Callithrix jacchus: one gene and its partners. The protein of the gene in region 1 binds, or shares a complex with, the protein of each later gene. Links are inferred from orthologs where the notes say so. Each region holds a gene or a part of one and is shown on either strand. Other genes may lie near its edges.

Region 1 (3,500 bases):
AATAATCATCTAGCTATTTAAGAATCACTTCCTCAGATGATATTAATAAAACATCTAGGTAAATAAAATATTTTCTGCTTAACACTTTTTAATGGAAATGGAATTAAATACTTTTCCTCTACAGTCTGTCAGTCCAGATGACAAGTTTTGTTCTCAGTCAACTCAGGACACTAGAAGAGGCGGCATGGCTCATGAGATCTCATCAAATCCGCTGGCAATGTCAAATAGGAGGACCTGGGTGGACACTGAATTTGCATGTAGCAAATACCATGACTGCCAAAGAATCCAAATTTTAACTGCCATTTGTCAAGTTGAATTTTCCTCCCCAAACAAAATTATTTCTTAAAAACCATACTCTATAATGTGTTTTTGTTCCAAGTTGATGATGTTAAAACCCTGCAACAATGCAAAAGCACTTATCCTTTCTAAGGGAGGGGTCCTACATAGCCCGACACTTGCACATTGGGGGTGAGGTCCCAAGTAGAGATTGGAACCCAGGGCTTCTAAATCAGCAAGCCTACCTTATCTTTTCCATTTGGGAGAAAAGTCATACTGAAACAGAGGAGGAAGAACATTAAATATGAAATAGCAATAGCTGAGGCTAAAAGATGCTCCAACAGCTTTTAAAAACATCATCTATTTGGCAATTTCTATATGCCACATTCAACAGTCCTGACATGTTCCTGGACAGACAGCTCAGATATCTCAAACTCTTGAAACCCCAGGACATACTACAACACTGGCAAAAGCCACGTCATGTGACCCAAATTTAAGTGCCAGGATTTCTAACTACGTCAAAGGTGGGTTTACAGCAACTATTTTTCAAGAGCAAGTGAAGTACTCCTTAGCCCAGTGCCTGTCAAACATACATACGGAAGCTTTAGCTACAATTTAAGCCACCTAAGGAAATGTTATCAAGTTCTTTGATCTGCATGAAATGTTCGGTGATGTGAAGCAAGTTTGGAATTCTACATTTTCCTAAATTATAAATACCAAGTTACAGTACTGTCCCTAACTCCACTGCAGAAGAGTTTTTAAACACCTGTTACAGACACCTGAGCATGCTCCATAAAAATGCACAAAACAGTTACCCCAAGGGAACAGGTAAGGTCAACAAATTAATCCACCACATTTAAACCTGGGTATACTAGGGAGGAGAGCTGAGCGAATAGAAAATGGGCTTAGCCTGAAGTGCAAAATAAGGCCCACTACCCTTGGTAAGAACGCACCAATTCCTAAAGGGATCCTTAACAGCTAAGACAGGGTGCTACTTACTTCCTCATTAAAAAGTTTGCTAGTTTCTTTTTTGATTGGGTCTATAAGCTGGACTTGGCCTGCAGAAAAGCCCACTAGGAGAGAGACACTTTCTGCTGTGGCTGTTAGGTGGTTGAAGTCATGACAAGTAGGCTGTGTTCCTTTGTATATCCTTTTATCTATTGGTTTACTCAAGTCAGCAGCCTGGAGGAGAAAGAGAAAAATACATATAGTAAACAGCACATTGAGATGAGAAATCTAAGTTATGCTATTTTATACTCCAATATGGTGTTTAATCTTAAAAATGAAGTTATTTAAAATATTTTTTCAGTTGTGACTTAACATTCATCTTACATTTTATGAAAGCACTTTCACATACCTTAGCCAACTAGATATCATCAGACTATCTATAATAAAACTGTTACTTTCACAACTTATTCTCCCTCAAATATATGTAACACTTCAGCAGGAAATATCCTTGAGATACTAAATTCAGTATTTTCAAAATGCGTTTCAATCAGTATCTAACAGAGGAGCCACATAAGAGCTCAGTTTCCAAGCGCGTCTTTAGCACCTAAATGTCCACTGGCCAGTCACCTGCAGCCCCGTGGCTCTCAAAGTATAGTCCCCAAACCAGAAGCAGCAGCAGCATGTGGAAACTTAGCAATGCGAAATCTCAAACCTTACTCCAGACTAAATGAATCAGAAACTATGGGAGGGAGTATGGGAGGGAGTAGGGCCAGCCAGCCGTAGTTTAAAGAGCCTTCCAGGTGATGCCGTTGCCTGCTCAAGTCTAAGAGCCGCTGCTGGAGCCCACGCTATACACTGGCTCCTCCTGGGTCAAGATCCCGCTTCTGAATTAGGTGTCAGGGAACACTCACTTATCGAGGTCATAATCAAGGTGCTTTACATGCATCATCTTTGACCCTAAAAATAATGCTCCAAAGTGGACAATATTTTACCCATTTTACAGATGAGAAAACAAGGTTAGGGAAGTTAATACCTTGACCAATTGTCACCATACCTACCTAGTAAGTGGCAGGACTGGATTTGGAACCAGTCTGTTTGACCATTAAGGGGATGGGGAAAGAGAGTCAAAAGCAAATGATTTCTCACTTGAGTGTAAAGAAATTTTTCAATGTGCCCTCCCTCCTTTCAAGAAGAATTCTTTTCTTCATGAGAAATGTTCTGTGTCATCCCAATATGCTGAGCTTTTATTGTGAAATATAAGGGAAACCCATCCCCTCCCACTCTTGTCTGAAAATCTCAGGTGGAGACAACTAACCCTGAAACAGAACTTGTCCCTCAAGACACCCAGCTCACCCTGCGTGGCCCTCTGGGGCTCCCGGCTCTAGTTCTCTACTGACCGCCCCCTCAGGTTCTGAAGATTTCTTTCTTCCAAAGAGGCCTGGGACACTGAACCAAGTAGTCTAATGTTTGACTTTGCAATAACAAATATAAATAATGAGTAGAAAAGAGGACCTCAAAATTACAGGCGTGTTTGAGCAAACTCAAAACCTTGTACATGTGGAAGTCTGGACCTGAGTGGTAACAAGTAGCTCTGGGAGCCCCAGGGCAAAGGAATGAGGGTACATGCCATGCGGACACTCTCCCAGCCTCACCTCAGTTAAAACGGAGATGAAAATCTCTGTTCTACCAACCTCATGGGATTGTCTGGAGGATGAAATAAGAGAATATATACATGAAAGAGCCTTGAAAAGTGTAATACAAAGCACCATACAAAACAAAAGGGAGTCCTGACTTTGGAGTGAGGAGAAAGGGGCCAGTGGAGGGTGGGCTGAAGGCAGCTCAGCCGAGTGCTGTGAGTGAGCAGCGGGGCCCAGGACGGTGGCCGTGGACAGGCTGTCTGAGAAAGGCAGCTTCTGGGCGGGCTCTGATGGCAGGGAGAGAGAATCCTGGCCTGACAGAACACCACACGCCAGTCATCTCAGAACAAGGAAGACAGCCCCCACCCCCCGCCAAAAAAAAAGCCACAAATATAAGATATGACTGGCAGCTAGAGAACAAAAATCCAATTTTGAAATATGAACAATTAAGTTACACATAATTACTATCAGCATATTCAACTCTTGAGACTTTTTCTTTTTTTTTTAGTTTGCTTAGGAAAAATAAAAAATCAGGCACGCCTGTGGTCCCAGTTATCCAGGAGGCTGAGGTGAGAAGACTGCTTGAGCCCAGGAGTTCAAGGTGACAGTTAACTGGGATTGCACCACTGCACTTCAGGC
Region 2 (3,500 bases), on another chromosome or scaffold:
ACTTGAACCGCTTTAGATGTAGGGCCAAGATCATGGGCAGCTTTTTTACTCTCATCCTAAGAAACCATGAAATAGAAAATCAGTTGTACCCAACACCCGTTAGGTGAAGAGAATACACTGCCATCTGCACAAACAGAACAGGAGGGGAGGTCTATGAAACTTCAAACCAGCAAACAACCAAATAGTTTGCAAGGATAAAAGTATGCTGGCTTATGTAGAGCTGACTTATCCTATATCCCTGGCTCCCAAGAGCATTCCAGCAGGAGAAATGTACAATGGTGTGACTCTGTTTGGTGAAAGGTGATGTTCCAGAATTTTCGCACAAATAAAAATAGGCCATGCAATTATTCTCCATCACTGCCCTGTGCCTTCCAGAGAGGAATGATATTTGGACAATCTTCCCTGAGATGATGGAAAGGAGGTTTAAGAGATTTTGAGAACAGGAGGCTGGGAAGAGGACAAGGTGGATAGTACCGACGGCTGGACTCATAGGTTCTGAGGACTGGCAGGGGGATGGATGCTTCTGACACACACTCTTGGGCATCAGGACACCAAGCGTGCCAGGCTCAATATCATTCTGACCCTTGTGATTTTGGGCAAGTCATTTCCTTCCTCTAGCTCTAGTTCCTCATTTATAAAATGCAGGGGTTGGTTTAGGGCTATATTTCCCAAACTGGGCTCATGAGAGCACTGGAAATGTTAACAGATGTGGTGTTTCTGTGGCCAAGTAAGTTTGGGCGATGCTACTTTCTGCTTTGAAGATCCTATGTGTACATTACCAGACTGAAGATTTTGAGAAATCCTCCAGTAAAGGGATTGTTCTGTTGTTTGATGTTGGATTTCCCAAATATATAAACATAGAAAGTTTTTTTTACTAGGTGACCATTAACACTCCTCAGTAAAAAGTCACAAAGGTAACAGTTTATGCAGAGCACACTGCTAGAATAGAGGTTCTTCCAGTTTCCTTCCAGCCCCCCATTCCATGAATGTACTGAATTAAGTGTACATGCTGTTTAGTTTGTGTACATTTTTAATGCATAGTATGTGAAAAGGACAAATTTTAAAAGAATAGTTTTAAGGAACCTATTAAGGAAAAGCCCTGGTCATAAAAATAAGCAAGTAAAACATCAGTAGAAAAATAAGAATTACAAGGAACCCCATATTTCATAGGAATACAAGACATTGTAATGTATAAACCCTCCAGGGCTGAACAAAAATGTCTAAGTGCCACAAAGAAAGACCCAAGGCCAGTCTTAGACAGACTGAGGTCGTAAGGATGGGGGGCAGATGTGAGTGACCTTCCTCACTAACAAAAGGTACCTGCCTACCTCCTTGACGCCTGCCTGCAATGTGACTAACTTTGTGTAAGTTTTGCAGCAAAGAAAGTAGTACATGTTTGGGGTGAAGGCCTGGGAAGGCTGGGCAGAGAAATGATCTCAATCTCAGGTCTAGACCCTTGAGGGTTTTAGACAGCAGTATTGAGCATCTGTCAGCTGCCCTGAATACTGCCAAGACAGATTTAACTCACAGGAAGCCTTCGCGGGAGACTGAAATGGCAACTTTCCTGGCTTGTAGGGTGGACTAATGGGGAACAACTGGTTATTTCAGATTTTCCAAAAGCTGTAACTGTCTGGTATGCAAAAAAGATGGAGAACATTGGGTCTTATTTCAATTCAGAATGCAGTAACTTTCAAACTTTCTTATCACCTGTTTTTTTTTCTTTTTTTGAGACAGAGTCTTACTCTGTCACCCAGGCTGGAGTGCAGTGGCACAATCTCAGCTCACTACAACCTCCGCCTCCAAGGCTCAAGAGATTCTCCTGCCTCAGCCTTCCGAGTAGCTGGGATTATAGGCGCAAGCCACCACACCTGGCTAATTTTTGTCTGTTTATTAGAGATAGGGTTTCACCATGTTGGCCAGAATGGTCTCAAACTCCTGACCTCAAGTGATTGGCCTGCCTTAGCTTCCCAAAGTATGCTGGGATTAAAGGTCACTGTGCCCCGCCTCTTATCACCTATTCTTACAACTGATGTGTTAATAATTTCCTCACAAGTCCTTATGAAATGATACATATATTTTAAACCTCTGTCTCTAAAAAAGAGGTCCCAATGTTTACGCAATACAAATGAAAATAATATTGGGTGTCTACTATTTGTTATATACTATTCTAAGTACTTTCTATAATTTACCCTTAATTCCAAGAGAATAGTGATTATATTTTATTACTACTTGTTTATCCAGCATAAAAAAGTATCTGGCACATGATAGCACTCAACAAGTATTTGCTGAATGACTGAATGAATGAACAAATGAGTAAACAATCGGACAGACAGCTCTCCAAGTTGTCCTCACCAAGGTCAGCGTTCTTGTCTCAGTTTCACTGGTGAGGAGGGTAACTGACTTCCCCAAGGCTCCATGGCTATGAGCCCAGGAAGCTGAGATTCAAAGCCAACCCTGCTGGGCCCCACGGTCTGGATCCCTCTCACTACACAAAGCCACCCCTGAGCTAAATCTTCACCTACCTTTTCTGGGCTTCCTGTTTGCTGCAGCATGTTTCACAATAATATTTTTGTTCACTACACAGTGTTTCTGTGTTGCTGAAGTCTCTGCAGAGGGAAGTATTTTCATCTTTAAAAAATGTTCAAATCTACTTGGCATACCATGTTTTAAATCCCTCAATTAACCTGTAGGGTCATTTTTAAGTAAAAATTAGAGAAGTAATCAGAAAAAAATCTTCCTTAAGATTAGAATGGCAGGAGAAACTACAGGATAATAAATACAAATAAAAGGTCTAGGTGCCATTATGCTGACAGACACTCTCTTTTCATTGAATCATAAATTTACTATGAGAGATTTTTCAAATATAGCTTTATTTAATGGAACACAGGCAGATATAAACTAGGGTTTCCAACTGCATTCAGAAAAAAACCTCGTGATTTAACGAAGAATACCTATAAGCTACAAATTAAAATCGTAATAGAAAAATACTATCAAGAGTAAAGGCTCATCATAAACACTAAAACTTAGGTCCAAAAAAGTCAATCACATAACGTGCAAGGTGACATTATTGTGTACTTAATGAAAAACAGCATTTCTCTGGTAGTCCAGATTTTCAAAGAGCATGAAAGTAGGAAGATAATGAAATTCAAACCATATACAAAACTGCCCTCTTCTTGAACTAAGGAAATCCTGAATTAATCAGATGACCACCTCCTACCAACCCCTGCTCCCACCACTCCCCTGACAGAGGATAAGAACTTCCGCCTGCCTTCTTTGGAGAACGAAAGTCATTGTGTTTGTCATATGTGTATCTGCCTTATCATGAGTTCTACTCTGCTACTTATGATTTTCATTTTTTAAATGTCATGGTTTTTCATTCTTTTCCAGCCATCAATATTCTACTTAACATTTCTGTGGTACTGCTTCAAAGGCTGAAAAGAACATCCAGACTAATACCCGACAGCTTTGAAAAATTCTGTGACATTTCCTTGTTCATAGAG
Region 3 (3,500 bases), on another chromosome or scaffold:
AAACAACTAAATGCAATGTCCACCTCTAAACTGGATTCTGTACTGAATGGGGAAAATGCTATAAAGAATATTACTGGTCAGGCACAATGGCTCACACCTGTAATCCCAGCAGTTTGAGAGGCCAAGGTGGAAAGATTGCTTGAGCTCAGGCATTCAAGACCAGGCTGAGCAACACAGTAAGACCCTTGTCTCTAAAAAAATAAAAATTTAAAAATAAGCCGGGCATGGTGTCACATGCTGGTGGTCCCTGCTACTCATGAGGCTGAGATGGGAGGACTGCTTGAGCCCAGGAAGCAAAGGTTACAGTGAGCTGAGATTTGCCACTGCACTCCAGCCTGAATGTAAACATTTTCTAGCTTCATCCTTACAAAGTGTCCAGCAAATGAAATATTTTCCCCTTGTTGAGGGTACACTATATGCTTTAGTTTTTATTCCAACAATGGACACTGAAGGTAATCGTAGAAAAAGGAAAAACAAATTAATACGCCTCCCTGATCTGTATAATCCTATGAGATTATGTCCTAAGACATAATTTCCGTAACATGGTTCTATGGTCTCTTAAACTGAAAGAAAATCAAACAGTTCAATCTACAGTAAGTATCTTTCTATCACCTCAGGTATTCATTATCAATAAGCAATATTACATTAAGAGTACAGACAGATTCCTTTCAACTAAAAAATATATCTTTAACTCCTATATCTAAGAATTACAACTTTCAAGTTCATCTTCCATCCTCTCTTCCACAAAGAATAACCTTTAATGTAATGATTCAATTTTTTTCTACACAAAATTGTATGATATACTTACAGTTTCACAAGTAAGACATCTGGTTTCATTAGTTAATGTTCCCTGAAAAATCTCATGAACCCACGTTGGGTCTGGTGTGCTGTTATTATTTTCATTATCAATATTACCATTAGGTAAGCGACCATTTTGTTTTTCCTGCTTTCTCTCTTCTTGTAAAATATCAGCAATCGTGTTTAGTAGGTAATTTAAGAATTCATGAGCATCTTGTTGCATGTAGTTGTCAAAAAGCTCTAAAAATAAAAACATAATATTAGAAAATTATTTCTGAACATACAACTTCATGAAAAACCAATTTATCAAAGAAATATATAGTATTGGATCAGAACTAAAATATAAATGCACAATGTTTTTGTAAGGTGTAAAAAATAAATAACTTTCACATCTAAAACTTTCATCTAAATTTGGGGAAAATAAATGTAAAATTAATTAAAATCTTGTTTAAAAATACTACTAACTGATCCATGAGAAAAGGGCAAAACCTATCCTCAGACATCAGCATAACAGATACTGAGAATTTAAGAAGAAATTGCTTATTAACTTATCTAACCTATTGTTCCACCAATATTTCAACACAGCAAGCTTTAAAGAAGTTGGACAACCATTTGCCAATGCCAAGCCAACTGCTTAAGAACCACAAAGTTCATCAAAAATAAATTACTGAACCATACATCCCCAAGATTCTGATTTAGTTAGTAAGGGGTGAGGCCAGAATGTGGGGCTTTTCAAAGCTCCTCCAACTAACTCCGATGTAGAGTCAGGTTAAGAATCATGTTATCAAGAATTATCTATGTAATCTAGATAATCTCAAGTCCCTTCCAAATGTCGGATTTTATAATTCCATGAAATGTTCTCTGCAGTTATACAAATGAGTAAATATAATGGAAATATTGGTGGTGCTAACATCAAGTGCTTTACCCTGTGCTTGGCAATGTACAACTCTACCACAGAACAGTAAGGACTTTAGTGACAGCATCTCATTTGACCCTCAACAACCACGTAATATTGTTGTTAACTTTATTTTTAAATATGGAGATGGGACCAGAGAGGGTAAAGTCACATTGCCAAGAAATGGCAGACCCAGGATTCAAACTGGGCAGCCTGATTCCACCATGCCACACACAAAGTAATAGCCAGTGTGAGCCCACACATGAGAACATACATGAATTATTCAATAAAATGCATTGAGAAAAATAACCTTTTTAGAAAATTTTATTTTTAGATCCTCAATGTACATTTGATAAATTCCAGAAAGATTTTACATTTTAAAAATGAATGCATACAAATTTAGAAAAAAATTCAGGTAAAGTCTAAGATAAAAGCAATTAACAATTACATTTTAGAAGAGATACGGATATAAAATTAAGTTCTGTGTATTAGAAATATTTTAAAAGTTTAAAAAAAGTGAAACCTAAAAATTATTAACATTATAACATAGAAAATCTCACATTAAAAAAAAACAAAGTGGGCAATGGGCTTGCAATCAACAATTTATAAGAAAAGAAAATAATCAAAAAGCTAAGAAACATGAGAAAATGTCCAATACCACGGGAAGAAGAAAAAAACAGGCCAGGTGCAGTGGCTCATGCCTGTAATCCCAGAACTTTGGGAAGCCGAGGCAGGTGATCACCTGAGGTAAAGAGCTGGAGACCAGCATGGCCATGATGGTGAAACCCTGTCTCTGCTAAATACAAAAATTTCACCAGGCGTGGTGGTGCATGCCTGTAATCCTAGCTACTTGGGAGACTGAGACAGGAGAATCGCTTGAACCTGGGAGGTGGAGGTTGCAGTGAGCCAAGATGGCACCATTGCACTCCAGTCTGTGCAACAAGACCAAAACTCCATCTCAAAAAAAAAAAACCTCCGAATACCATCTTTCTTTGCAAGTTATTGTAAAAATAGAAAGGGAACGAGTGAAACTATTTATGGGGGGGCACAGCTGCTAGAGCAAGGCTGTCTGGGTTGGTGCTATGGTTCTACCTCTAACTGTATATGCAGCATAGGCAACTTATTCAATCTCCCTGTACCATAGTTCCTCATCTGAAAACTGGGGCTCACAGCAGTACCTACACCTTACAAGGCTGGTAGGAAAATCAAAAGTGCTCAGAACACAACAATAGATTTTGTTTTCTGTTCAACAGCAACCACAATAATAATATTGGCAGTATTACCACAGGCTGAGTATCCTTTATCCAAAATGCTTGGGACCAGCACTGTTTGGGACTTTAGACTGCTTCAGATTTGGGAATATCAGTATACACATAACGAGGTATTTCGGGGGTGGGACTCAAGTCTAAACATGAAATTTGTTTCATATACACCTTGTAGCCTGGAGGTGACTTTCTATTTTTAAATATTTAGTACAGGAAACTAAATTTGTGTACACTGAACTATCAGAAAGTAAAGATATTACTAACTCAGCCACTCATGTGGCATCATGCAGCTCAAAAAGTTTCACATTTTTGAATTAGGGATGCTCAACCTACGTTATTGTTGTTGCTACTGAACAGAATACAGAACACATCAAAGACTGACTACATAAAAATTAAGAACTTCTGTATGGCAAAGTCAACATAAATGGAGACAAGTGACATATAAGGAGAATTATTTGCAGTGCTAATATCTAGACTATGTAAAGGATTAATATACAGAATATTTTTTTAAAAAAACCTTTACAAAACAAGAAAAGAAAAAA

Evidence for each region. The genes of interacting proteins can lie anywhere in the genome.
Region 2: the proteins of WDR20 (region 1) and USP46 are in contact, whole or in part, in a crystal structure (PDB 6JLQ), measured with the Homo sapiens proteins. The link is inferred for Callithrix jacchus from reciprocal best matches to the Homo sapiens genes WDR20 and USP46. Residues at the interface, in NP_653175.2 of Homo sapiens: Asn41, Ser42, Gly44, Arg151, Lys259, Tyr261, Phe262, Gly263, Glu282, Asp283, Asp284, Leu285, His301, Lys304, Ser305, Trp306, Gln374, Asp375, Thr376, Leu509, Arg516, Met517, His533, Glu534, Arg535; in NP_073743.2 of Homo sapiens: Asn205, Thr206, Ser207, Thr209, His210, Arg213, Arg273, Val275, Phe276, Pro277, Glu279, Leu280, Arg281, Phe283, Asp293, Met295, Gln338, Glu342, Tyr344, Thr347, Ser348.
Region 3: the proteins of WDR20 (region 1) and USP12 are in contact, whole or in part, in a crystal structure (PDB 5K1C), measured with the Homo sapiens proteins. The link is inferred for Callithrix jacchus from reciprocal best matches to the Homo sapiens genes WDR20 and USP12. Residues at the interface, in NP_653175.2 of Homo sapiens: Asn41, Ser42, Gly44, Ser45, Arg151, Ser170, Lys259, Ser260, Tyr261, Phe262, Gly263, Glu282, Asp283, Asp284, Leu285, His301, Lys304, Ser305, Trp306, Gln374, Asp375, Thr376, Arg516, Met517, His533, Glu534, Arg535; in NP_872294.2 of Homo sapiens: Glu207, Asn209, Thr210, Ser211, Thr213, His214, Arg217, Arg277, Val279, Phe280, Pro281, Leu282, Glu283, Leu284, Arg285, Phe287, Asp297, Met299, Gln342, Glu345, Tyr348, Thr351, Ser352.

What each region holds. Positions count from the first base shown.
Region 1 is NC_133509.1:137,130,158-137,133,657, reverse strand, and holds part of WDR20 (WD repeat-containing protein 20), read right to left. Parts: intron 2,929-3,500; coding exon of another isoform or gene 2,877-2,928; intron 1,459-2,876; coding exon 1,276-1,458; intron 553-1,275; coding exon of another isoform or gene 522-552; intron 1-521. UniProt on the Homo sapiens protein: Regulator of deubiquitinating complexes. Activates deubiquitinating activity of complexes containing USP12. Anchors at the base of the ubiquitin-contacting loop of USP12 and remotely modulates the catalytic center of the enzyme.
Region 2 is NC_133504.1:144,020,243-144,023,742, reverse strand, and holds part of USP46 (ubiquitin carboxyl-terminal hydrolase 46), read right to left. Parts: intron 2,607-3,500; coding exon 2,523-2,606; intron 57-2,522; coding exon 1-56. UniProt on the Homo sapiens protein: Deubiquitinating enzyme that plays a role in behavior, possibly by regulating GABA action. May act by mediating the deubiquitination of GAD1/GAD67.
Region 3 is NC_133506.1:146,261,097-146,264,596, forward strand, and holds part of USP12 (ubiquitin carboxyl-terminal hydrolase 12), read right to left. Parts: intron 1,039-3,500; coding exon 809-1,038; intron 1-808. UniProt on the Homo sapiens protein: Deubiquitinating enzyme that plays various roles in the regulation of the immune response and inflammation.